Struthio camelus: one gene and its partners. The main gene of each other region encodes a partner of the protein of the gene in region 3 in a complex. Links are inferred from orthologs where the notes say so. Each region holds a gene or a part of one and is shown on either strand. Other genes may lie near its edges. The genes, in order: STAC3, CACNG1, CACNB2 and CACNA1S.

What was found.
Region 1: CACNB2 (region 3) and STAC3 share a complex: the UniProt entries of both Homo sapiens proteins name them as parts of the calcium channel complex. The link is inferred for Struthio camelus from reciprocal best matches to the Homo sapiens genes CACNB2 and STAC3.
Region 2: CACNB2 (region 3) and CACNG1 share a complex: the UniProt entries of both Homo sapiens proteins name them as parts of the calcium channel complex. The link is inferred for Struthio camelus from reciprocal best matches to the Homo sapiens genes CACNB2 and CACNG1.
Region 4: CACNB2 (region 3) and CACNA1S share a complex: the UniProt entries of both Homo sapiens proteins name them as parts of the calcium channel complex. The link is inferred for Struthio camelus from reciprocal best matches to the Homo sapiens genes CACNB2 and CACNA1S.

Annotation. Positions count from the first base shown.
Region 1 is NC_090969.1:147,593-154,907, forward strand, and holds the start of STAC3 (SH3 and cysteine-rich domain-containing protein 3), read left to right. Parts: upstream 1-4,304; 5' UTR 4,305-4,384; intron 4,385-5,209; 5' UTR 5,210-5,210; coding exon 5,211-5,276; intron 5,277-5,680; coding exon 5,681-5,936; intron 5,937-6,061; coding exon 6,062-6,159; intron 6,160-6,319; coding exon 6,320-6,395; intron 6,396-6,488; coding exon 6,489-6,583; intron 6,584-6,666; coding exon 6,667-6,733; intron 6,734-6,954; coding exon 6,955-7,004; intron 7,005-7,090; coding exon 7,091-7,194; intron 7,195-7,315. Other genes in the region: R3HDM2 (R3H domain-containing protein 2), read left to right, coding at 1-79, 167-267, 793-877, 2,526-2,869. UniProt on the Homo sapiens protein: Required for normal excitation-contraction coupling in skeletal muscle and for normal muscle contraction in response to membrane depolarization. Required for normal Ca(2+) release from the sarcplasmic reticulum, which ultimately leads to muscle contraction.
Region 2 is NC_090960.1:4,231,964-4,240,130, reverse strand, and holds the start of CACNG1 (voltage-dependent calcium channel gamma-1 subunit), read right to left. Parts: upstream 3,126-8,167; 5' UTR 2,857-3,125; coding exon 2,616-2,856; intron 1-2,615. UniProt on the Homo sapiens protein: Regulatory subunit of the voltage-gated calcium channel that gives rise to L-type calcium currents in skeletal muscle. Regulates channel inactivation kinetics.
Region 3 is NC_090943.1:23,438,942-23,446,409, reverse strand, and holds the start of CACNB2 (voltage-dependent L-type calcium channel subunit beta-2), read left to right. Parts: upstream 1-4,326; 5' UTR 4,327-4,345; coding exon 4,346-4,444; intron 4,445-7,468. UniProt on the Homo sapiens protein: Beta subunit of voltage-dependent calcium channels which contributes to the function of the calcium channel by increasing peak calcium current. Plays a role in shifting voltage dependencies of activation and inactivation of the channel.
Region 4 is NC_090965.1:2,384,741-2,392,484, reverse strand, and holds the start of CACNA1S (voltage-dependent L-type calcium channel subunit alpha-1S), read right to left. Parts: upstream 3,130-7,744; coding exon 2,969-3,129; intron 1-2,968. UniProt on the Homo sapiens protein: Pore-forming, alpha-1S subunit of the voltage-gated calcium channel that gives rise to L-type calcium currents in skeletal muscle.

The DNA of each region.
Region 1 (7,315 bases), on a different chromosome or scaffold from region 3:
AGCCTCAACAGTGTCTGCACAGGGCTGAGCCCCCTCCCGGTCCTCACACAGTTCCCCCGGCCCATGGGCCCGGCACAAGGTAAGGGGAAGGCGTGGGAACAGCACAGGGCTGGGTCTTTCCTGTGGCTCCCTTAGCCCCCTACAAATGTTTGCTTCTATTTTGCAGGTGATGGGCGCTACTCGTTGCTGGGCCAGCCGCTGCAATATAATCTGTCTATCTGTCCCCCGCCCCTGCTCCACAACCAGCCTAACTACAGTGCACACCAGGTAAGGTTGGGCCAGACCCCCACCCCTCTCTTCCTGTCCTGGGAGCAGACCAAGACCCCCAGAGCACCCCTCTCTGGGCAGAGCCCAGGGCTGAGCAGGGTAGTTCAGAAGTGAGCCTGACATCCCACCTTGCGCTCGGGTGCCCCTGGATTGGGTAGCAGGTTGCCTGCCCCATGCTGTTACCAGCCATACAGCAGGGCTGCCATCATAAACAGTTTTCCCTGGAGCCTGACACTGTGCTGAAATTTCACCCTGCTCCCAGCTTTGCCCAGGAGCGATGTCAGCCCCAGGTCCTTTGAGTGTCCTGGAACCATGCCTGTGCCCTGGTCTCATCCAACCTCCCCAAGCCACCATGGCATCATCCCAAAAGTGCCGGGAGTGCAAGGATCATCCAATGTCTCCATTCCCCTTCACAGCTGTGGCCTCATCATGTTTGGTCTTGTCTGCCCCTCCCAGGATGCTCTGTCGGCACTGTGACGCCACAGTGTCCCCTCAGGTGACATGTTACCATTTTTACTCTTTAAGGGACAGACTGGAATGAAACATGGAAATCGGGGCAAGAGACAAGCCCTCAAGTCGGCATCCACTGATCTTGGGACAAGTGATGTAGGCAAGTGATCCTCCTCCAGCAGCTCCCCCATTGCCCTCCGCCAAGTCCCTGCTGCACAGGTGCAGCTGGCACTGGCAGAGACTCCGGTCCCCTCTCTGCTCACACTGACATCCCCCAGGATCCATTGCTGGGGGTGGTTGTGGAGGACCGTTCCTGCCCTCTGCCCCGCTCCCCCGAAATACCCCCGGAGCCCATGCAAGGCCTGGCTGGGGGGGTGGGCGCAGAGCCAGTCCTGGTGAGCTGTACCCCGTGGGAGGGCAGCTGAGGAACCCGGTTAGATGCTGCCTGCACTGACCAAAGCTTTTGAGGAAGAGTGGGGAGATATTTCTGGGGAGTCAGTGATGAGCACCAGGACACCTGGGCCCTATTCCTACCTCTGTGAGGCCTGAAGTCTGGCAGGGTGTGGAGCAGGTGGGGCTGGCAGGCAGAACTCCTGGCAGCTTTTCCTAGTTGTCAGCAGAAAGCGACTGTCCAGGCCCATGAGATCTTATTCCTACCGTTGACTTCCTAAGTGACCCTTCTCTTTCATGCCTCAGTTTCCCAGTGGGGGTAGGTGTTGCACAGTCCCCATATTTGTGGGGCTTTGGGATCTTCCATGGGCAGCTGCCGGGCTGAAATCCCCAGTGGATTGTTTCTCTCCAAGGAGGAAGGACTCCCCCTGTTCCTCTCCTCAGGGCAGGAGTCTCCTCTTGCTCGTGTCAGGGAGGGGAGGAGAGGCACAGGACTGGCTATTCCCCGCAGCAAATGCAGGACCCGCTAATTGGGCATGAGCCCGACAGGCTGGAAGAGAGACAGTCTTCCTTGGCTCTCTGGAGGCTTCAGAGTTGTTGTCTCCCATGTCACCTCTGTGTCACCACCACCAACGGCAGCTGTTTGCAGGGGGCCCTTTAAGAGTTGCTTCCCGGCGAGCTGGCCCCCTCCCTGCCACAGGGAAGCAGCTGGCATGTTTGTTACATGCCGTGTTAATATTAGCAAAGAATCCGTTTAGCCAGGCCTCTGCTAAGCCCCAAAGCTGGAGTGAAGCCCCAAAGAGCTGGAGCCAGGAGGCAGCAGGGGTGTTTGGGTACCACAGAGCAGAGGCACAGAGGTTGACGTGACACTGGCCTGGGCGCAGGAAGGGATCCTCCTCGTGACAAAGCACACAGGGAAAGGTCACATTCAGCGTGCAACTGCCATCCCTGGGGTAGCCTGCCTGGGGGCAGAGGGCAGCAGTGCTGGGTTAGGTCCCCTCCTGGTACCCAGGATTAGGATAAGAAAGCAGGAGAGAGCACCCGGGAAAGCCCTAACTGGAAAGCCAAGCCCAATCAAAGGGATCAAGGAGGGCTTGGTGCTGCTAGAGCCTTGGGCAAACAGAAAATATCTGTCTCCTCTTGAAGCGGGGCACATGGGGACCAGGGTGGGAGTATCAGAAATGATTGGGACAGGCACTGTAGGGACCAGGAAGATGGGGGCAGTTTGAAGGGGAAGAAGTGACTAATTAGAAGAAATATCCCTGATGTGGGACCAGCTTAGCAAAGCTCTGCTTTCATGGGCCAAGTAGAGATGACTGCTCCCATCCCAGAGCTGGTGAGGAAACCGGACATCAGCTCCCACCATGCTGTCACCACCCGAGGTCCTGTGGCCAACACATGCTATCTTTCCACTGCAGTTCTTGGCCGAGTGCTGGAGGTGACGGACCTGCCCGAGGGCATCACGCGGACAGAGGCTGACAAGCTCTTTACCCAGCTCGCCATGGCTGGTGCCAAAATCCAGTGGCTCAAAGAGACTCAGGGGCGGCGTGGAGATGGGGGCGGTGGGGACAACAACGGGACTCCAGAGAACGGCAGGCACACTGACCTTGCTGCCTTATACACCATTGTGGCCGTGTTCCCCAGCCCGCTGGCCGCCCAGAACGCCTCCCTCCGCCTCAACAACTCCCTCAGCCGCTTCAAGCTGCGTGTGGCCAAAAAGAACTACGACTTGCGGGTGCTGGAGCGTGCCAGCTCGCAGTAGGGCTCATGTATGGGCACAGAGCACACTGGACTGCGGGCGCTTCCCTCTGCCTTCTCTCTTCCTTTCTGCCCTCCCTTCCTCTCACCCTCCTTCCTGGATATATTTATATGGACATAATTAAGAGACAAGAAATTGATTTTTTTTTTTAATTTTTGGAGTGATGCCCATGCCCGCCCACCCTACCCTGTGTATATTGTTTTGTTAAGCACTGTGTTGAACCGCACATACAGGTGTTGATTGGTATGTTCACTGCACATTTTATTTAATCTGATTATTATTTGGGGTTTTTTTTTTGTTTTTGTTTTATTTGAGGGGGGGGTGTTTTTAAATATAAAAAGAAAACTTGTCCGTCACTTTAATGCTGCTTTCCCGTTCTCTGCTGGCGCCAGCGCTCGGTGCAGGCTGGCAGCAGGGCCTGTCCTGTCCCCTTCCTCAGGGTGAGATGGCAGTCAGGGCATACACAGGAGTGCGTCCCGGCACGGGGCCTGCTCCACCCCAGCATACGCAGAGGGTGCGTCCTCGTTGCTCTGCGGAGGCTGGGAGAGGAGCACGGAGCATTTTGAGCTGGGGCTGGTCACCCTTCAGATGTTCATAGCCTCTTCTTCCCAGCTGCCGGCCCCGGGCTGCCTGCGATGGCAAGGAGGGTATGCCCCCAGCTACGTTCCCTGCCAGGGTGAACACATTTCTCCTGGGTGAAGGGGAGCTGCCCTTGAGCTGCTAGGTGTCCTCCTACCGCAGGGGTACAGGAGTTGGGCTGGCACCAGCCTCGCCATGGCGTTGCATGCGGCAGCCCTTGGAGCTTCCTGCGGTGTCCAGAGCCAACCTTGGAGCATGGGTGCAGGGGGAGAGGTAAGAGCTGCTTGGAGGGTGTGGGGGGCCTTGGTGCAAACCCTGCCCCTCTGCCACCCACAGCCAGGCAGGGACATAGCTCCAGGGGCTCTGGCACTGGGGGCCCACCCAGCTCCTGGGATCCAGCCCCTGCTGCGGGGCAGCACAGTAGGGGTCGGGTCCCCAGCTCGCTCCTCAGTGGCTGCTTCCTGTGGGGCAGCGGTGAGCGTTGAGCTGGTGAGCGTTGAGCGCGGGACCCTTGGCGGCACCTCTTCCTTCCCGCCTGCAGTGGCCTCCAATGCGAGGGCAAACAGGACAGCAAGGCTGGAGCGCTCAGCATGCCCCCGCGCTGCTGCTGCCCCATGCCAGGGGTGGGAGGGTCGCTGTGACGCCCAGCAACCCACTAACGCAAATAGCCAGCAGCTCCTCTCCACCCCGCTCCCCTCCCGGCTCGCGCACGGGCTCCAATTTCTCGGTGTCAGCCTCCGCCAGCGCTCAGCTGTCGGTTCCCCTCTGGCCTGTCACTCGGGTGCTCCGCAGCGCTGGGCAGCTGCCCCCTCCCTGCACACCCGGCCCTGGGGCTGGGGGCTCTGTGGCCCAAGGGGCCTCGGCGCCAGCCCCCCGGCAGCAAGCCCGCCACCAGCTTTGCGCGGTGTTTCATCACGGGACGCAAGCTCTGAACGTGGTGTAAGTGCAAAGCGCGGCTCCGCGTGTGGCTCCCCTTACCCAGCAGCCACTGACCCTGCTGGGCCCCTGCGCCACTGCTGGACCCCGGACCCCCCAGACCTCCCTGCCGAGCCTGTGGCCCCAGGAGTCCCCAGCCCCCCCCCCCCGCTGTCTCCTGCATGCTTGTCCTGTCGCTTTCCAGGGAGGACGGGGGTCTTGTGTTAACGGTAGCACCAAAAATAGTGACGCCTGGGTGGAAGGGCTCTGAGGATGGTCGACAGACAAAGGTGGCGTCAGGTGGGTTTTGGGGGTGCAGGAGCAGATCTGCTCCCTTGGTAGCACTGGGTTTCCATGGAAGAAAAGGCAGGGCTGTGCCCTGGTGCCAGACAGCGCCATGGGTACTCTTGTTCTGGCCAGCCAAGTGTGGCACCATTTGCCGTTTAATCTCGAGACGGAGGTGTCTGGGCAGAGACGGGCACATGCAGGTAGCTCAGGGGCTGCTGGCAGCCACATCCGCGAAGCAGCAGGGACGGTGAGGAGCAGCGCTGTGGTGCTGGGCCGGGAGCAGAGCCCACCACGTGCACAGCCCCTGCAGCAGGGCTGGGCAGCCTCCTGAGGGGCCAAGCCCGGCAGCCCCCCGGCAGTGGTCTGGGCCGGTGCTGGGGCAGGGCAGCAGGGAGCTGGGTGCAAGTAGGGCAGAGGGAGGCACTGGCCCGGGAACTGCTTTCCATCCAGCCAGGTCTGATCCCCGGGGGCTGCCGAGGCCACAGGCCGCTGCTGCCCTGGCTGAGGCTCTGCAGTGGGGGCAGCCCCAGTCGAGACGATGTCTTTGTCTTCCCCTTGTAGCATGACAGAGAAGGAGGTGCCAGAGCCACCAGCTTCATCTGCCTCAGGTGGGAAACCCAAGAGCCGGGTAAGTGGATGCCTGCAGATCAGCTTGGGTGAGAGGGGGAATCCACCTTCCCCACATGGTCTCTGCCTCAGGCCCAGGACCCTCTGTGGGGCCAGGGGTGCCCTGGTGGTATCTGCTTGAGTGGAGCACTATATGGGCATTGCCCAGCCTAGCTTTGCCCCAAGGTGCCTACATCCATGTGGTGCCCAGGACTTGCAACCTGCCCCTTGTGGGGGGACCCCACTAGGCAGAGAGAGGGTCCCTGTGCCCACCACACTGCACCCAGGACATCTGGGTTCTCCCCCCACCTGGTGAGGGAGGTTGTAGGTCAGAGCAAAGGGGCTGGGAGCTGGGCACCGGCTCCTTCCTGTTTTCCTCGCCCCCTGCGCCTGCAGTGCGCCCTGCAGCCTCTCCTGCTCCAGCAGCTGCAGAAGCTGAAGCAACTTTTCCGGCGAAAGCCCAAGGAGGAGACGGCACCGGAGCCACAGCCGAATGGGGAGCTGGTCAGCCCCTCCGGGAGGCCCATCTACTACATCTATGAGGACGAGGAGGAGGAAGAGGAGGAGGAGCCCGAGCCTCCTCCCGAGCCCCAGAAACTTGTCAATGACAAACCCCACAAGTTCAAGGATCATTACTTCAAAAAGCCCAAGTTCTGTGACGTTTGTGCCCGCATGATTGTCCGTGAGTCGCGGGGGCACTGGGCTTGGGGCCACAGGCTGGGGGCCAGGGCTGGGCCAGGGCTCCAGCCCTGCCACGCCTGCAGCCCTGGGGTCACATCATCTCTCTCCCCCCCCTCCACCCACCAGTCAACAACAAATTTGGCCTGAGGTGCAAGAACTGCAAAACCAATATTCACCACCACTGCCAGTCCTACGTGGAGATGCAACGCTGCTTTGGCAAAATCGTGAGTGCTCATGCCGGTGCGGTCCCGGCCCTGTGGGAAGGACCCGGGGGCAGCACCACCAGCTGGGCATCTGCCCTCCAGGTCCTTCGCGCCCACCCATTGCCCCCTTAGCTCGCCAGTGGCAGGCTGTGCTCTGACCCCCTCCTCCTCCTCCTTGCAGCCACCAGGCTTTCGCCGAGCATACAGCTCGCCCCTGTATAGCGACCAGCAGTATGCCTGCGTCAAGGAGCTGCTCTGTAAGTACTGACTTCATGCCTGGGGCGGGCGGTGGGGGGAATCTCCCCACACCCCCTCACTGAGCCCCTCTCACTCCATCTGTGCCCCAGCAGCAGCCAACAGGAGCGACCCAGTGTTTGAGACCCTCCGGACGGGCGTCATCATGGCCAACAAAGAGCGCAAGAAAGGGCAAGACGACAAGAAAAACGTGAGTGCAGGGTGGGCCTGTTACTCTGAGCCGGCCTGGGCGCCTGCCCACCCCTCAGCCCCTGACTGCTCTCTGCCTTGCAGCCGCTGGCAGCTATGATGGATGAGGAACCCGAGGCCATGAAGGCAGCTGGGGGCAAAAGCGAGGGCGGTGAGTGCTGCGAGCAGGCAGGGCTGGGGCTGCAGGGCTGTGCTCCCCCCGAGGGTGCGGGACGGGGAGCCCACTGGGGTGGGCTTCACCCCGAAGAGGGGCCCTAAGTCCAGGTCTCGCCCCAGGGCTCTCTGCAGGCACGGGAGGTCCCCAAGGGCAGGCTGGTGCTGCGGTGGGGAAGAGCAGCACAAGAGAGGTGACCCTTTTTCTCCTGTTTTCAGGCACCTCCGAAGGGGACAAGAAGGCGGAGAAGAGCACAGCAGATGACAAGGTAGCCCTCTTCCTCACCCCGTACCCAACGGTGCCCGGGCTACCCCCGGCCCCCCAGCCTCTGAGCCCCTCTCTCCTGCCCCCCAGAACAAGAAGCCACAGCAGGGGATGCGCAGCGGCTATCTGCAGTCTCACTACTTCGTGGCGCTTTATCGCTTCAAAGCCCTGGAGAAAGACGACCTGGATTTCCCGTGAGTTCCCAGCCAGGACGGGGGCGTGCGCTGGGGAGGGGGGTAAGTCTTCACCTCAGCAAGGCCCTCGGGCCCAGAGGGTGCTGTGAACGAACAAGGGCAGAAATCAGCAGTGCTGGCT
Region 2 (8,167 bases), on a different chromosome or scaffold from region 3:
GAGGAGGGGCTCTGAAACACATCATTGAGTTTTGGAGATGGTAGCTCCGAATAGTTTAACTTCATAGTAGTCTTGCAGGGTGAGTCTCTTGTACGGATGGGAATGTGACACCCTTTTGGTTAACTCATTTGCTCTAGTTATTTTCCTGTCAGACTCCAGCTGCCTGAATTCAGATGCATATATTTAACAGGAATGATTTAACCTGCTTGTGGCAGACACAGGCTATAGAGCATCACTCGTGCTACCCAACTTGCAGTTGCACAAGAGCATGCTTTTTAGGATGACACCTATGTTGGAGTTAAAGGTTGGCAGTGACAGAGGTCTCTGTCACACCTTTTAGTAAATGGCTCCAATGGTCCATCGATCACAGTTTAAAATGTCCCTACATTAATCTGAATCTGCCAAGTTTTAACTGTCACCTCCCTGATATTTTTATTCCTCACAGCAGCATGCCAAACCCTTTTCCAATTTGTCAACATCCTCTGAAGAGTGTTGTTAAATTTTAAACATCTTTGCTTAAATCACAGGCCTGTTTTGTAGATTATGAGCCAAGTCATCTTCCACATTTTGCACTGCGCTAAGCTCAAAAACTAATAAATAATATTAATAGTGCCATCCATTTCCTCCTAAGAGTGACTAGTAAATGGTTATTAATACAGTGATAAATTCTTATGTTTCTTTTCCACCGACAGCAGTAATGTCTGATTATGTCTCATGATTTTCAGGAAAACTGATTTCCACCTATGCGCTCTTTTACGCCACATTTGGTCATTCGCAGGCTTCACAAGCGCAGTGATTCTCTGCTGACATCTTTCCGAAACTGGGAAATCAACCTAAGGAGAGACCTGCAAAGGCAGCGTGGCAGCAGCCTGCCGTCCTCGGTGGCTGGGCTCTTGGTCACCTCACCATGCCATGTCCTCTGTGTAAGTAAAATGAGGGCTTTAATTCTTATTTTATAAGAGGTGAGGATGTAATTCATAAGGTGAAGGCTGCTGGAAACCTCAGAAGCTTATTTTGACCCAGGACTTCAGCCAAATTCTAGACTATCTTTCAACACCACAAAAGCACACCAGCCGGACAAGCTGCCCATGGTGTGGCCGAGCTGCCCGTGGAGGGCTCGGTTCGGTAGCTCCACAATTACCCGTTCCTTTACTGCGCCCATTAGAAAGGCAGCGCGGGGACATGATTCAACGTCTGTGCAAGCACATGCTGATGTCTGTCAAAGATAGTAGCCCCTTTCGGGCTGCCCTGCCTGTGAATCTGCTTTCCAGAGACAGCTGGATATTTATGAGTTTTATATTTATCCAGCAGTTGGTGCAATTTTGCATTTATCAACCAATTTCTATTATTTTCCTTTTGTGTGAGTTTTTGTCCACGTGCAAAGCAAAGCCTACAGCGAGGAATATGTAAGCGCCTACACGAGAGACGTTAAGTTTCCAGATCACGCGCTCCCAAATTTGGCTAGAGGCAGATCTGAATGCTGCGGGCTAGCTCCTCGCTTCAGAATAAATAATTCTGCCAAACAGATAAAGAATTGCAGTAACATAGAGAATATACACTAAACACAGGCAGCAAGATTTTCATAAGAACTCTTCAAATATGTGTTAACATACATATTTCATTTCAAACAGCGAGGCTAACGTGAAGGCAATCCTGTTATTTCTGTTCTGGAAAGAAGCCAGTTCCCTATCAGCCTTCCCAAAAAGCAGCGTAGTTCAGTCACGGCTAGGGTATATTAGTACACGCTGCGTGAATGTTGCTGACTTTGCAATCAGCAAACATATAACGAGCTCCTTTTACCACGGGAATGTAAGGGTCTTCCTGGAAACCAGCTAGGATCGCTCCTCTGCCACCCTTCCTATTGATTTCGGTGGAATACCTTGCAATGAAGAAATGCATCCGATTAGGCTGCTTTCAGCTGCAGAGCCCGGGCTTTCCTTCGCTGCAAGGTAAGGAGGCTCAGGAAGGCAGTGACAAATCATTTCTAACTCCGTTTGCAGCCTTTTTTTGGAAGCTGGCAAACCGCAGCCCTGCTCGCAGCCCCAAGCAATGACTGTTATTGAAATAGCCCGTGGATAACTTAATAACTGTCATGAACAAGCTGTTCCTTCATAGCCAGCTGAAGCAGGAAACCCTCCTGCTTCAGCCACACAGGGTGGCCCAGTCCTGCAAATCCTCCCTCCGCCGACGCTCGTCGGAGGTGGCGTGGGTTTGCCCGCGTGCCGTGGGACCCTGGGCAGATGTCGGCACGATATCCTCCATCCAGTCCGTGATTTCCACCGTGTCCGATCCTTTTCCCTGATTACCCGCCGCTCCCTTTGCCGCGCAGGGGACCGACGGCTTAAAATATGGTTAAAAATACATGGGCAAGGCAACGCGGCGGCGCACATGCACAGCACGAGAAATGAGAGCGAGCGGCGTTTGCAGGGTGATACGAAAGCGAAGCAGCGTGCAGCGCCCTGTCAGATTAAGAGCCGGGGTGGGTGGGGGGGGGAAGAGACACCGTATTTTGTTCCTGCCGTGTGCCGTAACCTCCTAAACACCGCCTGGAGTCACCGCTGACGCTTTCTCTCGTGCGGTTTGTGCGCGGCTGGGGAACGAGCGCCGTCACGTACCTCCCGGCAGGCTTATGGGCCCGCAGCCCTTCTCCCCGGCGCCTCGCTCTTGCACGTAAATCCGCTTTGTGCAGAGCCGCCATAGCCCGAAATGAGCCGCTTCGCAGGTGGCGTTGTACTCCTCCACCTTGGGGCTCAGCACGGCCCAGTGGTCAGTCACTACGGCGGCGAAGAGGAGCGAGACGCCGACCAGGATGACGGAGAAAGTCAGCCGGATCTTCAGGGGTTTGCTCTCGTCCATGCTGCTCGGCGCGGCGGGCGGGCGCGAGCCAGCCGGCCTCTGGCCGGGCCCGCTGGCGTGGAGCCGCCGGGCCGCTGATCTCCCGACGCCCCCCCGGCGCGTCCGAGCGTCTTCAAACGTCAGCGTTGCCGCGTTTGGAGGGGAGGAGGGGTTGGGGGGGGGGGGACGAGCAGGTGGCGCGGCGGCCGCCGGGGCAGCTGCTGGGAGGCGTCAGCGGCGGGGGGCGCGCGGCTGCGGCCGGCGGGCTCGGCTTTGGCTGGCGGTCGCCCGCGAGCCGGCCTTAGAGCCGCCGCGAGGGGACTGCGGTCTTGCAGCCTGCCCAGAAATAGGCATGAAGGGAAGGGTTGACTTTTTCGGCTAGGTTAGAGGGGGGGGGGAAAAAAAAAACCACCCATGTGGGTTTGTGATAGCGCTGGGCCTGACTGTAAATAGCGGGAGGGTAGACTCAAAGCCCACAACGCGCCTCGGGCTCGCGTCAGCGTTTGTAAGGAGAAGTTTCGAGCCGGACGGCGCTGCAGCGCCCCAGCCCCGTTGCGGGCGGTGAAAATAAACGGGCTGTGGCTGAAGCAATTGGGGGGGGGGGTGGTTTCTTTTTAACGAGAACGTTTATTTTTTTGAATTAACCCAAATGTCTTGTTCAGGCCGAAGGAAAACGGTTTGGTTCACTTCTGAAGCCGCTGATGGTTTGAGAGCTGTATTTTGTCATACCCAAAGTTCGATGTATAAAGTACGGCAAGTACGTATTTCATCAGTTTGCGCGAGACGCTTTGTGCTTTGAGACCGCTGGAACAAAACCGTTTGGCGTTTCTCCCCCCCTGCCCCGCCGACCCTTTTTCTGGTTTTACAGTGGGAACTACTGAGTGAAGTTGATTTGCTTTCACAGCTCACTCCGGTTCTTCCGAAAGAAAAAGGCGTAATCACTAAATTGCTTTTCTCACACCTGTTTTTTTGCGCCTTTTGAATCATTTTTCTCATCCTAAACCTTCCGGAGCGCTTTCTTCGTTTCCCACCAGCCGGGGTTTGCCTCGGTGCTCATCGTAACTGGTATCGCTGGCTCCTTCAAACTGCCCTCTGTGGCCGATGTCGGCTCCTCTCTGTCCAGCCCTGGCGTTCTGCGTCGTCTCCGGCGCGAGGCGCACCGCACGCCAGCGCCCGGCCCTCGCGGCGCTGCCCGCAGACCCCCCCTTCTCCGAGCAGCGACTCCCCTGCCCCGAAGCCTCGATGTCCCCGGCCTCTCTCCTTGCCTTTGATGTTTTAAGCTGATCAGGAAAGTAATTTCCTGATAACGCCAACGCCGAGGCCGCTGTGGGGGTGACATTACCCTTGCGATGTCGAACCGGTGACGGCGACAGCACCTGAACGTCAAGACGATGGCTTGAAAAATGTCAGCGGAAATCTGCAAATATCATGTTATCGTGTCAAGATAATGGCAGAGCTACTCCAGCGCTGTTTCATGAACACCCCGGTTCAGTGTCAAGATAAAAGGTACGGCGGTGTCGTCTCGAATTAAGGAGGACAGTTTGAAGCAATGAACTAAAGGCAGAAGGGAGCTGCGGGCAATGGAAAGAAAATAGTGAGTTAGAAAAATAATGATCCAAAATAACTGTAGCTGAAATAGGATTTAAAAGAATTATCTGCCTGTCAGTGATGGCCGCAGGAAGAAGCGAAGGGAAAACCCACCAGGCAGGAGGGGAAGGAGACAAGGAGCGGGGCCGGGGACCTGGGGGCAGCGGCACGTCCAAAGGAAGCTGGCTCACCACGCGGCGGTTGGTAAAACGTCAGCAGAGTGCTTTAGACTCGCTGATCGAAAGCGCTAAGCTGGGGGAAAAAGGGTTGGAAGCTGGTTTGCAGCCCACTAGCGCGGATTGCTCCACTGCCGCGGACGGCGACCAGCGAGCTGTAGAGAAGTGAAACCACGCTGTCCAGAAGCTCTGCCCTGGCTCGATGCTGCTCTGAGAGCTCATATCCTCCTTCAGGGAGTGCCATGTGCAGGGTTTGGGCTTCAAACCATCAGAGAGCCCTTGCGATGTTCATAGGGTTTCAGGAGCTAGCAGAAACCAGCACAAGCCAGGGTATGAGCCCCTTTCGCACCATGGTTGGAGTGAGTCAAATAGTCTGAATCGAGTCTGTGACCTCTTCCCTGAAGAGTTGTTCCCCAACGGAGTTTGCTTTTTGGAAATCTCTCCAGAGCTGGTCTTCGAAAAAGGTTAGAAACCGCCCCACCCTTGAATATCAAGTATAAAAGGGGATCAAATTGAAGCAGCTGAAGAGGTCTTGAGAACAAATGTACAATTTGGCAGCCACACAATTCAGAAAGGATTCTCATATTTAGGACTCCCAAATATTTAAAAAGTCTGTGCAGAAACCGGACCCATGAGCATGGAAATAGCCAGCGTAGGTTGGCTGCGGGCCCTCATTCAGCCCATGGCAGAGCACAGCGTGACTCAATCAGGGTGAAGGCACAACAGTCCCAAACAACACCTGCTTACAGCTCCGCTGAGAAAGGCGCTGAATAGAGCGAGTCGTTTATATCAGTTTGCAAGGAAATTTTATGCTAAGAGTAACAGAGACTGATTTCTCTATTTTTGCAAAGAGGCAGATCCAAGACTGGAGCACTAAAATGTGCCCTCAGAAGGACCTGACCAAGAGGCTGTTCTGCAAAGCCCGTTCTGTCTTGTTGCTAAGGGGGGAAGATGCAAGTTAGGACTGTCCAACCAAGTAGAGACCTCTCCACTGCAATCATGTCACACATAGAGAAATATTATGGAGACTTACATTTCTGTTTTCTTACCCAGAGCCAAGAGTTCTCATGAAAGCAGAAAAGCCTAAAGGGAACAGACTTTAAAACAGAAAAAGAATGCATTAAAAATGTAATGTCTTCTCTTTTAAAGTAGACTCTTGCTAAATTTCACTAGACATCAGTCGATTTTGAGTTGCATCTTGACTTTACTTCCTTGACACTAGAAACTCCGCAGGTCCTCAGCAAGTTGAGCATGGGAAATGCATGTTTTCAAGTGCGGGCACAAAGCAAGCTTTTGGTTGCTGAGAAAGCAACTGCAACCAAGTTTTTGGTTGCTGAGAAAGCAGCTGCTAATGATCACACTTTAGACTAATTACAAGCTGTAAGGACTGAAAGGGTGGGAACTCATTAATTTTTTTGTTACTGCTGGTTTTTGTGTCTCCTCCAGTGTTGGCAAGAATCACGTCTTCTATTCTCATTCAAGTACTACAATCTGGATAAGTTCCCCCCAGTTTTGTTTTGTTCTTATTTTTCTAATAATAACCAGGAAAACACTAAAGCAAAAAGATAAAGAGAAAAGTCATCCTTCCCTCTCTCTCCTCTGCAGAGAGGACCCGAGACTGTGAACAAGCTAAAGCTTGGATGAACTTCAGTGCAAGATGTAGAGGCTTCCCTGGAGGCTGAAAAGTCACCTAGGCTAAGGTGAGTCATTGTCCCTGGCCTAAAAACATAAGCTGGAGCCAGTGGTCCTGAGAGAGAAAATGCTTTGTGGGGATAGTGTTCCATGTGTTAGAAGAGCAGACGTACCCACGCTACTCAGGTGCTGCTTTCTGCTCTTTGTGCCAGAGCCTCAGGGTGTGTTTGGGGACAGCTGGCAGGGATTCGGTGAAGCCGCTTGGCTTCAGAATGTGCTGTGTGGGCTCTGAAAGACTTGCCTTGTCTCCAAAAGGTTTAGCCCCTTTCCCAAATCTACATGGAACTTTTATCCCACCTTGGAGGTTTAACTGGCCTCCCTAGGGGGCCTGGTGGCCTCTACTGTCCGCTCCGTGGCTGGGTGAGTGTCTAACAAATGCAGAAGCACAACTGACTTCCAGAGGAGCAGAAGACTCCAAAACCTGCCTGCGGATCTAGAAGACTGCCGTATATAGTCCTCTCTTGAACGGTTCCAGCAGGCTCCCTGCTTCAGCTGGCAAGGAGCTACATTTAAAAATCAATATCCCATGAAATATAAACAGTGTATTAATGAGGACCTGTTGGGAAGCAGGGAGGGTTATAATTAGTTGCACTTTAGCAGCAGTGAGTGTGAGAGACATGGTTGTGTTTGGTTGTGTTTCTCTCCTGCAGAAAATGCTAAATGTTTCAAGATCAGCTATGGCATTCTTTTGTCCCTAGCAGAGTCGTTGGCTTGGGTCTGTTCCCCAAAATTTGTGCTTTCCTATATTTCTTCCAGAACAGACCCAGTATTTACCACAACCAGGTTAATCGAATTCTGCGGTTCCTTTCTTGCAGAACTATGTGAAAGACCATTATCAGGTAAGTACAAACCACCCCTGATTAGAGGGATTTGTGGGGGCCAATCTCTTTGGCTTTATATATTTGCACAGGCCTCTGAAGTAATTATTTTTATGCATTAAAATGAAGAATAATCCATTTTGGCAGGGGCTGTCATTTCTCTAGGCTGACATACTGCAGCAAGTAAGTCGCTAGACTTGTGTCTTCAAATGTCTGTTGTGTCCCTTGCTGACACGAAGGGAAATTCATACTGAGCATGTGTGGGGATGTGAAAGAGAATAGCTAATGCAGCGCCGTGCAGGGAAAGCCCCCCACAGTCTGCTGAATCCAGGGCACTTGTCTTATTTTCTTTATGTGATATTTCTATGTTTTTAAACTACTTTAGTGCAGATTTAGAGAGGGCCTGCGCCGCAAAATTTGAATCTAAACCTCTCCAAATTTCAGGGCTATTTAGAGCGGCAAAGATTGGGCCTGGTCTGCTCTCAGCTTACATGTATTTTCAGCAAATCAGCCATACAAGCAGCCTACTTAAAATGGGATCTCCTTAGCAATAGTCAAGCTTCCTAGCCTACCTCACACTGCTGTGGTGGGCCCCCGCGTGTGTGTATTTTTCTTTTAATAGACTCCTTCGGATAACCAGGGGCAGATACACCCGTTCAACCTAACGAGGGCTTTTCTTGGCACCAGCTCTGCAGCCCTTCTGAACACAGTGCTGGCAATACTTCTTTAGGACTGACTACTTCTATCTGCCTGAACGTTTTAGCTGCAGGTTCGTTCTCCTAAAATAATGAAGAGCCTTTCTTGGCCCGCTTATTTGGTAAGTGGTCTCTTTAATTCTGGTGAAGCAAACTGACCGCTGCTGTAAGATGAGCTGTTTCACAGACAGGTGCAGAGCACTCTTCGTTCCCTTTTAGGTTCAGCACCTCCTCCTATGTTGACTATTTTTCTCATTCCCAAGGAAATGCCACATCCTCCTCAGCGGAGGCTTTTCCACTTCCCAAACAGAAAAGCCATCAGAACTCCATCATGGCTCAAAAAAGCTCCCTTTCTGATACATCT
Region 3 (7,468 bases):
CAAGGGTTTGCTGCATCTCACCTCCATCCTGCAGAATAAAGCAGGCATGCTACAATAAACACAAGTTGAAAGGACAGATCAGTTCATTAAATCCAGCCAGCCTGTGCTGTGTTCAGGTCTGATACAGAGTGGTAATAGATTCCTAAGTGAGCTTGTCTAGATATTAGCTGCATGTTTCTGTTTGGACTTGTCTTGTGAATGATAAAATATAAAAATAAGGGGAATCTCTTTAGCTTTCACTTTATCAACCAGACTGCAATTAATCACTGGAGAAGAAAGTGTACTCTTTTCCAAGACCTGAAACCCAGGTAACTGAGTGTATTCTTGTTTTTCGTTGATAATGAACATATCAGCTACAAAGCATTTCAAGCAGAAGGTGGCACAGAGTATTAGGTGGCCAGCATTTCTTTTTAACTGATCTTCCTAATGAATTTCTTCTATCAGGGCTTTAAGCATATGCTCAATCACGAGTATTTTAGCAGTTTTGCAGCAATCATTGTAAGCTCACATGCTTATATTAATGCAAGTGTTTAATTTTTAGCTTTACTTTCACAAATATCAGTCCAATATCCTAGGCCTATTTTTGCATGCTCAGGTCATGGTCATAGACTAAATCAATCCTGCACTGACTCTGCGTGTGTGCGCTAGAACACCGTGCTGGACATAGACATTCCTGTATTTGGGGTAAGGCAATTAAGCATGCAATGCAATACAGTGCTCCTCGCTCTAGAAGAATATCTAATCTCTCAAACAACAAAAAAGCAATTTTGGCACCCAAACAGCCTATCTTCTCTGTCAGCCTAAGGGTTTTTTAGTTTTTGTTTGTTTTTATTTTTTGTTTGGAAAAAAGAGCTTATCTTTCTTTATGTCAGTCCTCTAACATTTACATGTTTGGAAAAGTCCAAATAAGCATGCACAGCACTTCTCCGTTGCAGATAAAAGTGTAAAAAATGCAGCACAGTGGTTTTCTGCTGAGAAGTGGTTAGGCAGAGCAGGTTGTTTTCCCCTTGAGAAAGAACCAGTAATTTGGAATCTGTGCATATTGTTTTTACACACTGACCTTTCTCCTGGAGTAGATGTGGCCAAAAACAGCATGCGGGGGGATGCCTGCATGTATACGTGTTCAGCTGAAGGATTTCGCACTGCACAGTTCAAGGTTTTAGAACTCTGCCCAACTGCTAAACCCAAGGAGTAGAACAGAGTAAGATACTTAAAATTATTTGCCTAGATAAATGTCCTAGCCACTCATTATATCAAAGCAATGAATAATAATTGTTGCTAAAGAAAAGCCAGGTAGCATATTTTTGATCAAGAATGAAAATAAAATAAACTTAGAAATCTGTAGGTGATTTGAGTGTTTGAGGATTTTTGTTTTTTAGGGGAAAACTATAAACCACAGTTCTCTATATGTAACTAGGGATTTCTATAGGCAGTGAGCTTCCTCTTGTTCATTTGTGCCTTAAAAGCTTCTTTCCTGGTTCCCTGCTTTCTAAAGCCCCTGTATGTGGGTATATAAACAAGCAAAATCACTACCTTTCTTTTTTTTATAGAGGAAAGAAAAGAAGAAAAAGTAATCAGAATGGATATAGGACTTAGCGAAGGAAAAATGAATTTCATCTGATATATTCAAGCTCTTAATTTATGAGAGAGTAGAAATATCCTTTCAACACACATGCACAATTCATGGTTTCAGAGCCTGTAATGCTCCAAAATGATCTCTACTACTCTTAAGGAAGAATAGAATACTTAAAAAGAAAAAAATCTAATGTTAGTTATATATTCCCTACACAACGAAAAAATCAGAAGGCAGTATGAAGGACCACTGTTACATGAATAAATAGCTACCAGTCTTTTCTAATTCTCTCCTATGTGTGAGATAGCATAGACAGCCTTTGAAGGATGCCTTAAAACCTGCCAAATCAAGACTATACTGAATCATGGTGGAAGACAATATGCCAAGATCAGGGAATCTTCCCTGGAGAATGTCTTAGAATAAAAGAACAAATAGTTCCACAGATATTAAGGTGTTGGAAGTCAAAGCTAACCTCTTTGAATGCTCCTCACCCCCTACCCCCTTAGCAATCTTAAAAGAAACAGGAATGTTGTGTTAAGGTCTGTTGTGAAACCTCACTTACGCATTAAACTTCCTTAATTATTATGATGGTCACAAACAGTAACTCCATTAAAACGATCTAATCTGGAAGTGACAAAGATATAAATAACTACTTCAAGGCCTGCATTAGAGGGCACAGGATGTATTCTTCCCCTCAACCATGTAAGGAGAAAATGCGTTTTTAATTACAATCATTAAGAGAACATTTGGAAGCATTCCAAGATATAGTATCCAGTTTGAAGGTTCTTTAGCATCTCTACTGAACTATTTTAAGGAAATGGAAGCATGTAAAATAACATTCTTTTTGCTTAAATTAAGGTTCTCTTGTGCCGTAGACAACAACTTGGGTAAAATTCTAGAAATGATTTTTGAAGAATAACATGACAACTTTTCAAAATAAAAAAAAGTTGAGTTTTTTGGACAAGTGAAAGTTCTCAAGCTTCTTCAAACCTCAGAGCACATCTGCTTGCAGGGAAAGCCAATTCCTTCCAAAAAGCAGAAAGTTTCTGCAGGACATGTTCACCATTCATATGGACCATGTGGTAATTCCATAGGGCTAAGCTAATTAAGTGAGAACATTCAGCAGCCATTATGAAAAACTGGAGGTAAATCAAGCACGCAATCAGGAGAAAAGTTGAAAGCATTTCTTGAAGCTGAACTGGCTTTTCTGTTTTTGGTTTGTTGTCTCTACGTTGTCTCCTTTTTCTATATGCAACTATTGTGCTCCTGTTAGTTTTTGTTGTGACTGGAAGTATGCAGACATATCTGGCTGCCCAGAGTTTATGCAGCGATTTGTCGTTCTTCGTAACATGAAGTGATAAAAGATCTCACAAACAATCACAAAGTGATCTGGAAAACACAAGTTTCTCTCCCTTGTTGTCTACAGCATCGCTAGGTCCAATCTGAAGAGGACAACAAGAGGTAACAAGTCTATCTCTATAAAATCTAGTCTGACTACAAATCTTGGTCCATCGAGTGCTTATGCGGTCAGAGGCTGTAGGCTGTATCATGCCAGGTGAGCGTTGCTTCTGAGAAATGAACGGTAGATCTTCTCAGGGGTGGGGGCTGTTTTTCCTGGGTCAGGATTTGAACAGACCTTTCAAAAGTCTCCTGTGGGGTACATGATAACCGGATTAAAATTGTGCTGCTGCAGGTTTTATAAATATAGATAGTAGGCTTTATCTCACCTGCTAGCTAGGAATTACTCAGCCCTGCCTCATGTGCCTACGGGACTCTCCAAGAAGTACCGGAAGAAACCGTATCAATTGGACAGAGCTTCCCGTCTGAAAAGCGCCGATTTGTTCCCTAACAGCAAACGTATCCCGCGCCTGCCTTCGGCTTCGACACGAGCTGAGACACGCGACGTCCTGGCTAGGGACCGGGAGCGCCCACCTGTGCGGGGCGGCCGGGGCAGCGGCACGTCCCCTCGGCTCTCCCCGCCGCAGCCGGCCGGGGCGGCGCCGCTCCGGCGGGGCCCCGCGCCCGGGCCGAGCCGGCGGGCAGCGGCAGCCGCGCGCCCCTCCGCCCCTGCCGCTGCCTCGCTGCCTCGCTCGAGGGCAATGCTAGCTGTAAATAGCAACTTCTCTGACGGCAGGCGGGGAGCGGGCTCGCTCCCTCCGCCCCAGCCCCCCTTCCCGGCCGGGGCCCCGGCACCGCTCAGACCCCCCGACCCTCCCCTGCCCTTCGCGCACCGCCCCCTCCACCGAGCCCTCCGCGGGGCCGCCGCCGCCAGGCCCCGGCGCAGCTCCGCGCCCGCGGCCTGCGCCCAGCCCTCGCCCTGCCCGCGGCGCAGCGGCCGCGCAGCCCCCGCCCGGCCGGCGAGGGAGGGAGGGAGGCGCCGCCCCGCGCCCGCCGCCCGGTGCCTCGGGGCGGGGGGGGGGGCGATGCTCGCTGTCACTTTCCCTCTTCCCCACGCGCCGCCCCCTGCCCTCCCCCTGCGCCCGGCGGCGGCGGCGGCGCCCCGTCCCCCGGCGCTGCGCGCTCCCCGCCGGCAGCAGGCAGGGCCGAGCCGAGCCGAGCCGCGCCGCCGCCGCCGCCGCCGCCGCCGCCGCCGCCGCCGCCGCCGCCGCCCGCGCTCCGTCCCCGCCGCCGCCGCCGCCGCCGCCGCCCGCGCTCCGTCCCCGCCGCCCGCATGGCCGGGCGCTGAGGGGCGCCGCCGCCCCGGCCCGGCCCGGCCCGCCCGGCGCTGCCCGCCCAGGGCCCGGCGCCAGAGCTGCCCCGCGCTCGTCTCCGATGGTCCAGAGCGACATGTCCAAATCGCCTCCCGCCGCGGCGCAGGAGGTGCAGATGGAGCTGCTGGACAACCCCCTGCCCGCAGCGGCGGCGGCGCAGGTACCGCGGCGGCGGCGGACCCCGCGGCCGGGCCGGGCCCCGGGCGGCGGCGGGCGGCGGGCGGCGGGCAGCGGGGCCGGGGCAGGGGCGGGGGCGGGGGCCGGCGGCGGCGCTCGGCCGGGCCGGGCGGGCTTGGCGGGGGTGCAGCGGCCCGGGGGTGCCTGAGCTGCCGCCGGAGCAAATGGGGAAGGGAGCGACCGGGCTGCCAGAGCTGTCTGTCCTTCCACTTCAGCTCCCCGCCGTCAGAAAAGTTTGACAGCTCTTCTGGAGAGCCCGACCGTTTAATTACCGCACACAGTGGGGTGCTCTGTGCCACAGGGGCTTTGCAGAGCGAGTAGCCTTTCAGTTACCCAGGGCGTACCTAGATAAGAAAGCGTTGCTGTTGAGGCGCTCGCTCCTCCGTGCATTTGTTGCGGGCTGCGGTTATTTTTCCCTCCCCCGGTAACCTGCTGTGTCCGGCCGTGATGCTCCCCGCGCTCTGCTGCGCCCTGCTCACCTGTTGCACGGGCAGGAGCCTGGCGGAGAGGGGCAGGCCGTGCGCGCCGGTCGCGGCACCGCGCTTTGCGGAGGGTGCCGGTGCCCGGTGCCCTGCGGAGCCCAGCTGCGGCAGCACCGGGCAAAGGGTGCTGTGAGAGTCCTCTGAAATTGTACCAGCTCGGGCCGTGTGCGCTGCATGCGGGCTGGACGTACGGAGGGTGACAGGGAGTAGGTGGTAGCAGGCTTGGTGAAGACTTTATATTTTGAAAGATGGATCCTGTTTAATATATGAATGTTGCATAATATCTCCGAGTTTGCAATAGTTGGCTACACAGACTTAGGGAGCTATTTTTAAACCCGGTAAAAGGGTGGTAAAATATGATTGTGTGCGTTTTAAATTACAAACATACTTGTTCTTGTTAGGACAGAGATTTGGATTTTTTTTCCTTTCGGGGTGGCAGTTTTATTGCTGCTGCCAAAGCTATCTCTAATCCTCTATTTTCTTTGGAGAAAGTGGTCTGGTTTCATCACAGAAGTGCTTGATTGCCACAGGAAAACGGTGTCAGTCTGTCAAAAGACTCGCTAATTGATCTTTACTTACTGAGGATTGCGAAGAGCGGAACAAAATTCAGGCACTGAAATGGAGACTAGGTTAAGTTAAAAAGAAAAAGTATCTCTTTGGATGTGAATTTGTCTGCAGTTTCTAAGTGTGGAGCAGACCTTTCAGTAGGGCCATTTGCTTTGCCAACTTCTCCAGAGACAGCGGCGGTGGAACTAATTTCTGACCTGCAAATACCTCCTTTCTTGTCTCTTTTCAGCCCTAAGAACAGAATGGGCAACTGTGAAATCATATGGTGCCTCTCTGCTGTGGCGAAATGTCAAATAGCGATCATAAAGTTGAATCTCACCCCTCCTTTTAACTAGATAAAGACTCTCTCTCTAGAGGGGAAGGATAGTTGCTAATTCTTGCACTTTTTATGTTTCAGGTAAGGTACTTATATTCTGTTCTATTTAATTGGTTTCTGAATGCCTACACCAAAAAAGGACCACTTCTCAAGACAGTGATAATGCAGCTTTTCGGTTCAGGGAATAATTTTCAGTTTTCTAAACCAAAGTCAAGTTAGGCAAAACAAGAATCTCATCTTCTGCGTATGTATATGTTCCAGTCATACATAAACCTTGGATGTGGAAGAAGTAAGATTATGGAAACAAAAGATCCCTTTATCTGAATAATAATATTCAGTTAATTCCTTTGTATGTAGTGCATTGAAAGACAATTATTCTGATCTGAGTTTTTGCTCCATTAACGTGATTTCTAAAAAATCAATATTGTAAAATCTTGCTGCTTTAGAGTGTACTCACAGTGAGAAAGAGAAGCTTAATGTGAATATGTGAATCATCAAGTAGATAGCCTACAGGTACTTCAGTTAGGCCCACCATTATCTTTTTCACTAAGGTGCTTGAGTATTGATCCTAGAAACATTTCATGCCAAGTAGCGCATCAGAAAAAAAAAGGAAAAACAAAAACATGCGAGTTTACGGAGTGATATCACTCCTAAAAGTACTCTCTCTGAAGTGCTACTTCTGGGAATTATGATTTAGTGAAATATAACTGAAGAGCCTTCGTATACTTGTAACAAGCTTGAAGATTTCTCTTCTCCAAGAATTTTACTTTTGCAAAGCAGAGAGTTTCTTTTAATCTGGCTGTGCACCATGGTCAATATATTGGCTCGTACCCTTCCATAGATTTTGGCCAAACTTGTCCAGGCTTGGCAGAGGAGTGAATATATTTAACAATCTTTAAGAGTAATTACTTCCACAGTGTTAATTATGTGAACAGTTCTTAGATAGCCTCTGTGTAAACTCTAGTCCTTATTTTTGTAACCTGTTTTGCTAACAAGACGTGCAAAGGGAATAAAATCCCTGTAGGCGTTGATCCTGACAATTATACTGTCCTCTCCCCGAGGAGTTCCTTGACACAGAGGCAAGGTATCTATGCGTGTTTCTGTCTTACCTAATATACTGAGGCTCTTACCTCCATGCTACTGTAAAAAGCATAAGTACTCATTTTGATCCTAGTCCAGGCAGGGTTGTGGTAAACTTTGAGATGTCCAGTCTTATCCAGATGTATGCGCATGTTACTTGTTACACTGTGGAGTCATTCACAGTGTTGATGTGTAAGTCAATGCAAAGTAGTCGTTGTAGGTGTGACTCTTTTGTAATAAACTCAGCATTTGATTTTCAGAACTCATGAAGCGTGCAAGCTATTGAAATGCTTCGGAGTGATTTAAGATCAGTAGCTGTTTTTCTGAATCAACTCCATTTCCCTTTTTAGCTCTTTATTTCAGGAACTTCTCAAATCTACAAATTTTAATCAGAATACTCAATTTAATTATTTTAAATAACTCAGATGCTATGCTCATTTTTTCTTCATATATTGTAACATAGCATATTAATACTTCTCATGGTTCTCATGGTCCCGCTCCTTCTGTTTTCTTTTCCTCTCATTTAATTATATTTTCTGATCCTGTTTCAAAGTCCCTTAGT
Region 4 (7,744 bases), on a different chromosome or scaffold from region 3:
CAGGTTATTTTGCCTTTTCTGGACCCTTCTGGCCAACAAATTGATGATACTTTAAAAACTAAAGTCAGCTGAAGAAGCTGCCCTCCTCTGTGCCCCAGGTAACAGAGCACAGCCCAAGGGCTAGAGATTTCCCTGCCTGCTCTGACAGGGTGAGATGAGCAGTCCACCTTGCCAGCACTCATTTCAGTTTCCATGTGGTTGTGAGGATGCAAGAGTGTAGGGATCAGTTCAGCATCATGGAGCAAGTTGGTGAAAGCAATGGAAAGAGGAGCAGGAACCGTGGCCCACATCCTGCCCCAACAGCCACTAAACTGCAGAAGTCCTTTTCTTGTTCCCCTGCTCTGGTGAAAACAGCCACATCCTCCTCCTTGAAGGGAGAATTATCTTGCAATCAGAGGTGAAGTTGAGACTCAGTGCTCTTCTATTATCAGGTTGCTGTAGGCAAGTCCCACATTGCCTGCCAGTGGCCATGAGCCTGGGACTGTTATTAGGTAGATACACAGTGGGACAATTCAGCCAGCCAAGAGTCAGGTACTGTCACTGAGGCAAGCGGGTCTCTGATAGAGTCCAGAGACTCAAAACCCTCCTCATCCCCTTGCCCTGCAAATCTCACTTCTGCTCCCTAGCAGCCTCCTGCCATGCAGCATTCGAAGGAACCAACTTCAGCTTCACAGTGGGAATTAGGCACTCAGTGCCTTGCTCATGGTCCCCAGACTCACCCATCTGCCTTAAAAGTCCTCCTGACTACAAAATGACCTGGAATACCAGCACTCTCCTGCTGCCTGAAAAGACCCTGTCCTAGCTCTTTGCCTCAGCTTTGTGCCTCTGACAGTGCAGTTATTATGCAGTAGAGATGAGGCCAAAGAGCAGAGATGTGTAACCTGATCCCATTCACCAGGTATCCCCACAGAAAATGGTCACACTAGTATCCATTTGGCAATTGGTCTGGCCATGAAGCTCATAACAACCCACAGGAGCTGGAACAACCCCGTCATGCCTTGTAAACCTTGATCCCTGAGTGAGGGGAGGCAGGTGCATTGGCATATAAATATAGCCAGGCACAAGAGTGGTGCTGCTGAAACCCGATGCCCAGAATCGTCCATCTCCCACAGGTCAGGACTACCCGCACCTGTGGCCTTCCTGGTGAAACATCTACCTCTTCCCTCCATGCCCCTTGCCCACGTCCCCAGTGTGGGAAAGGCCTCCCTCAGTGGGGCTCTGCAGTTGCTCTGGCATATGTTGGCCCATCAGGAAAAATGTTTTTGAGTATGCTGGAAGATATATATATATATTATTTCCAGCTCTACCCCTGCCATTAGGGTCTACAGACAAGTTCCTTCCATGCCCTGCACCCAGACACAGACACAGCTCTGTGCTGTGCAAAACACCCCATTCTTCAGCTGAAGAGAAGTAGAAATGGAGAATTCCCCAATTTTGGCTCTGCTGCCTCTCCGCAAAGGTCAGAGAGCCTCTTTGTGCCACATAGGAACAAGAGGGCTCAGACTCCATGCCCTGAAAAGCATTGCCAGGTGGTGTGAGCATGCTGTCAATGTCTGCAAATGGGCAGCCTGGGCTTTGAGCAGGACAGCATCAGTGGTGGTGCTGGCGCATGGTTTTGGTGCCCCTGTAGCACCACATATACCACACTGCAGGCAGTGTTTCCCACTAGCAAGGCTTGGCTCTGCAGCCCCCAGGCACAGGATGAAGGCTTGCTCTGGTGGGGTGGGGCTGCCCAAGCTGCCCTAGAGGGGAGAGGACCCTAGACTGGGAGAATCCCGTCAAGGCCAGGAACACCTAGATGCATTCAGCAACTGAAATAAGAAAAGTTGGGATGGAAAGACTGGATTTCCTGGAAATGCCCCAAATCCTATCAGTGTTAGTTGAGCCCAAATGTTTTGTTGAAACCAAGTGAAATGTTTCCTGTCCCGTTAAGGCAAAAATGTCCTATTCCACAAAATACAAGCTGTATTTTAAACAACCAAGGCCATGTCTAATGGACTAAAATTATTCCTGGATGGGTGGCAGAAACATGACATTTTGCCACTTCCAAGCTAAAACACCCCAGTCAAAGCATGGCCAACTAAAGAGCAACCATCACAAACCCATCCGTAAATTAAACCAAGGGCACACAGAGATACCATCTCTCTAAACAGCTTCACCCATGAAAGCCTTCACGTGTGACAAAAGTGGTGGAGAGGGAGGAGATAAGGAGATTGAGACAGTAACGGTGTCGGCAGGGATTTAGAGGATGCTGGCTAGCTGCCCACGGCCATGGCAGGGAGTAGCTGCAGGAGTGGGCAAGCGGTGACACACACACACAGCCATCTCAAGCAGCTCACCGTGGTCTCTGTATCCATCTCCCAAGCCCCTCTTTCCTTAGGCTGGCCTGTCCTCCCAAGCTGCATCCTCAGCACCTGCTCCTCCATCCTGGCCCTCCTCTTCTGCCCGGCCCATCCCAGCTCTGGGACAGGGCCCGTGCCCCCTCCTCTGACACCATCACTCTCCCCTTCTGGCAGACTGTCCCCTGTTTATCCTCAGCGCAGCTCCTACCAGCCACAGCCAGCACAAAACATGGGTATGCATACATTCCTTGCCACTCAGGCTGTCCCCTCCTGTCCCCAAAACACCCTGCTGAGGATCCCTATGGTCCACTCCTCAGCCCTATCTTTCCCACTAGCCTATTCGTGCCCCCAGGTTGCACAGCCGTCACTTCTGCCAGTGCACCCTGCTGGGGCTGCCCAAGCCCTTCCTTGCTTTTCCTTGCTCCCTCGCAGGCCTGATGAGACAGCCACCACAAACAGCACCACCATAGCATAAGCAGAGACAACTCACAGACTCAAAGTGTGCTGAGGACTTGCCTGCCTAACAGCCCCAAGGGGTCCTGCTCCAGCAAGCACTCCTCTTCAGCACCCATGGTCACAGACATGCACATGCAGGCGCTACCAAGCCCACCAAGCCTAAAGGATACTTCCACTCCACGATGCTGATGCATGCCTTCCGAAGTGGGTTTTGCAGGGTTAAGCAGAACAGAGCTCTGGCTGGCCGGGGGGCTGCTGGTGGCACTGGCTTCTTGGACTTCTCCTTCTGTTGCCTCTTCTTTGCATCATCTTGGGGAGATGCAGGCTCCATGGTGTTTCTCCCCTAGCTGCCTCTTCCTGCCTCACAGCCAAGTCCCCCTTCCCCAGATCCTGGCCAGCCAGAGACCCTCTGGGTCTTCCTTCCTGCTAAGCCTGTCCCTTCTGTGCACCGGGGGAGGTCATGGGGGAGTGGGGGCTGGAGGCTGCACACGCATGCACAAATGCACAAAGCATGAGTTTAAAATTAGACACTAGCCTGGCTCCCGGGTGCTGTCACAGTTCCCGAGGCAGCAAAAGGACCCCAGCAGCTGTTGCTTCTTTACCCGGCTTATCCTAAGGCAGATGAGTGCTTTGCATGCCACCGAGCCAGGCGGGGGGTGGGGACGGGCTGCCCAGAGTCAGGTGCACACCCTCCCAAGGAAAATTGCCCTCACCCCGGGTCACCTCTTTCCCCAACTCCCTGGGCCTTCCACGCCCAAGTAGAGAGACTGGGCTGGCTGGGGGAACGCATGTGGCCCCATCTGCTGAATTGCACTTCTTGGGTGAGAGGGAGAACCTGACTCTGGCCAGTGGGACACTTCCTCAAGGAAGGTCATCCCACAAACTGATCAGCCCTGTCTCTCTGCAGGATTTCTCCTTCATGTGGAGACCCTCAGATGCAACCTGGTCTCTTGAGCCCTTGGCCCTGTGACCCCAGGGCTGTGGTACCTCTGGGGATGGGTACGTCTCACAGACAGGAACTTTGACCCCAAACTCAGAGCTCCTGGGAGTGATGCTTAGCCCAAAGTATGCCTTGGCTGGCACTCATCACCTCAGACAGCCCCTGGTCAGCCTCATCTCTTCAATTCTGCTTGTAGGGCAAGGGGCATGCCTGGGACATGCAGGAATACAATAAGCCTAGGGTGGGCTGTGTCCTGCTCCAGGGACGTCTTGGAAATCCAGCTGGGCTTGAGAAAGCCCAACTGGATATACGGACAATGCTGGGGACTCCCAAGCTGGAGGTGTCAATGCACATAGGGACAGAAGGGGGTTTTCACTACCTTTTCACAACAAGGGAAACAGAGGCACCAGGAAGGGCAGTGCTTGGGGTTTTCCTGCAATCCAGGGACTGAGTTAGCAGAATAGTTACACAAATTTTCTTACTTACAGGTATGTCCCTCAGCAAATGTTGTCCCTGTCCTATGGAGATGCTTCAGCCTAATGTAACCAGACAGCTGTGCCCAAGTCAACCCGTGTCCCAGGGGGAGCTCTGCCCACTGTACCACACTGCCTTGCTCAAAGCTTCCTTGCCTCTGTTTTGCAGGGTCATTTCACCAGCTGCAGAGCAGGCTGTGCCGAGGGCCACGGTGCCAAGCGAAGACAATCATTCCCTCCTTTGTGGCCCATGGCAGGAAGACAGCATAAGAGAGCAACTCCTGCAGCTGCTCCAGCCCATTTTGACACTCCTGGAGGGGAGGAGGCCTCAACTGTAGAGGTGCAAAATCAGTAACCCGCCCTCTCCTACACTACTCTGCTGCATTTTATGCAAAAAAAATAGCCAGAGTCAATTTATTCCTGCCCAGGGCTCCAGCCTCATTTCTGTGTCACAGTGGCAGGTCCAAACATGCCACTGTTTCTCCTCTGGTCTTCGTTCCTCCCTCCTAAGCACTGCTGAAAGCCATGAGCTGTATTTCTGCTTCTGCCTGTGCCCCTGCCAGGAGCGCCCATTCCTGGACTGTGTCCTCCCTATCAACGACAAGGATTTGGGGTCCACCTAGTGGCGAGCCAGAGGGCAGGCTGCAAGCATGTGCTTGGCATGCTAACGCTGACAGTGGGCGCTGCTGCCTGGCATGGCGTCTGCCCCAACTTGCCCTAGGGCTGTTCTTAGAGCTAGGAAACTGTTGGTTCCTTCTCAAGAGGCCTCTGCAGGGGATGAGAAGAAACATCTCCCTTTCGATTCATGCTGCAACAGCTGTCCCAGAGGATGAGAGCATGGTGGGAGATCTGCTGCAAGCAAGGACCTGGAAAGGACACTCAAGGTCTCTCTGATCCCCTCCAGAAGCCTTCATTCACGATCTACTCACTTTTGAACTCTGTATCTCCATCCTTGGAGATAATCTGAACTAGACTGGGTAAAGCCCTGAGCAACTTGACCTAACCAGACCTACTTTGAGCAGGAGGTTGGGCTCAAACACCTCTGGAATGTGCCCTTCTAATGTACCTGATTCATTTATTCTCTTCCACACACCCCTCTGCAGCTGTTGGGAACTGCTTGCTGCCCTTCTGTGCTCTGTATTTTGCATGGGGCTGTGCTGACAAGCACTGACTTCACATGGCTTTAACAAAAACTGCCAGAGAGTGGTCCCTGCAGGCCAGGGCTCATCCTCCTCCACATCATCCAGGCATGGCACAGCTGGTGCCAAGGCCAACCATTTTTGTGTCTCCCATGTGACCTTAATTAAACTAACTTCAGAGTTAGACGAAAGCTGAACCCTCATGCTTTGAGACATAACAAAAGGACTGGGAGAGGGTGGGGAGCACTGCATAGTTACCTGCAGGGACTACACTTACCTTCCTCTACAAATCAGCCAGAGGTAGCAGAGGGGAGATGCTAGCTTGAGGACAGGGCTTTCCTGCTCCAATCCCTCTCTCACTTGCTGTGTAGCAAATCACTCTTTCTGTGATCTCCACTCAATGGATATATTCCTATGTATCTCGTAGGGGAAGGCTGCTTCCTCATGCAACTGAGGCCTCCATCAACAGGCTAGGGGCCAAGGCCAGCATGTTTTCTTCACCTCTTCGCTCTTCTTCCTCATATCTTTCACAAGCTTCATGCTCATCTTCTACTCCTTCACCACACCTGCACAAAGACATGGCGTTAGCAAGGGTCAGTGCCTGTAGTCCCAAACACAGTAAGCCCATGACAGAGCCCTACTCAGCTTGGAAGGAGAAAGGGTTAACATGGGAGCAGGGACTGCAGTAGAGCCACTCCACCACTGCAGCCAATCCCTTTGCAATAGCTGTGTTCCACAGGGCAGAGACATACGGCCTCCCAGAGGCAGAGCGCAACCAGATTGGCCCAGGCCTGCCAAATCAGAAAGGCTTTCCCCTACTATCTTGAAGAGCAAGGGATAGAAATGGTCCCTGCACTAGCCATTCTCAAGCAATATGACCTTGAAAGCAAACATCTCCTGACATGCACAGACATGTGTGTGTGCCCCCTGCTCCCAAAGGCTTCCCCTTTTCCCAGCCTAATAAAATGTACCTCCCTGCTTTGACACCTGGCTCCTGTAGGACCTAGACCTAGCTGTCACAGACCCTATGGGCTGTCTGAGCACAAGGCCAGACTATGGCAGGGAGTGTGTCCTTCTCCAGGACAACCACGGCTTTTCCTTCCTGCACGTGACACCCAAAGTCAAGGCCACAGCAGCTCATGGGGACCTTTAGCAGTGGCCAGAGTCCCTGCAGCAGCTCTTCCAATGTTATCCATGTGCTGGGGGCCCTTGAGGACCAGGGAGTGGGGCTGGCATGCCAGGCTAGAACCCAGCAAGGGATTAACTCCTTCTAGAGGGACATTCCCAACAGTTAGAGCAAATCAGCTGTTTCGCTGCAAGAAGGGGCCTGAGCCATGCCACTAGCCTCCCCCCGGGTCTGGCCGCCTCTCGGGGGCACCTCACATCCCCCTGCTGGTGCCCAGCCAGGGCTGGCAGGCAGGGGACAAGGGGATGGAGCAGGCCCCGGCCCCAGACCTCCAGCACATGCCCTCCTGCAGCCAGGGCTGAGTCAACTCTGCCCTAACTGAGCCGTGGGGCACGTACTGGGGAGAGTGGGGCCCAGAGCTCCCCCCGGCTCCGGCTCTCCGGTCCCCAGAAGAGCTGCGCTGCCAGCCAGGAGGCGGGGGGGGGGTGCGGCAGGCCCAGGCCCCGCCCCTGCCCGCGCCCCCGCCCTGCTCCCTCCCCCTCCCCCTCTGGAGCTGGGGGCGGGCCCAGCCTGAGCTGGCGGCCCCTTCCCGCTGGGGTTCCTGCCACCGCAGGGCCTGCAGAGCACTTGAGCGCCACGGGCCCTGTGCTTGTCCTGGGCGCAGCTCAGCCCCACGAGCCCTGGGGCAGCTCCGCAGCCCGGCCTGGGCTGCACAGTGGCCTTGGGATGGGGCCTGTCCCTGCAGACCGAGCCTGTGGGGCCCTGTCCCCACAAGACTGTGCTAGCTGGGCTGTGCCCCCCACTCTGACCATGTCTATGAGGTCCTGTCCACCCCCAGTCTGGCCCTGTGTCCCCCAGATGGAGCCTAATGGGCCCTGTCCCCCCAAGATTGTGCTTGGGCTGAGTCCCTCCCCCGAGCAAGCCTGCAGGGCTCTGCCACCCCTCCCATTCCAGACCTTGCTGCTGAACTTCCCCCTCCCCACACCAGAAGGTGCCTGTTGGCCTGTCCCCCCACCCAGATTGTGCCTGTGGGGCTCTGTTCTTCCCCCGGACCGTGCCTGTTGGACCCCATCATCTCCGCTGTCGATGCCAGCTTGGCCATGCTGCCTCTCTAGACCTTGCTGGGAAGGCCCTGCTGCCCCAAAAAACTGTTCCTGCTGGGCAGTCACCACCCCTGGACCATGCCGGAAGGGCTTGTTGCCCCCAAGACTGTGCCTGTGGGGCCCTTTCTCCCCTGAGACCATGCCTTGAGGACCCTACCCCCTACA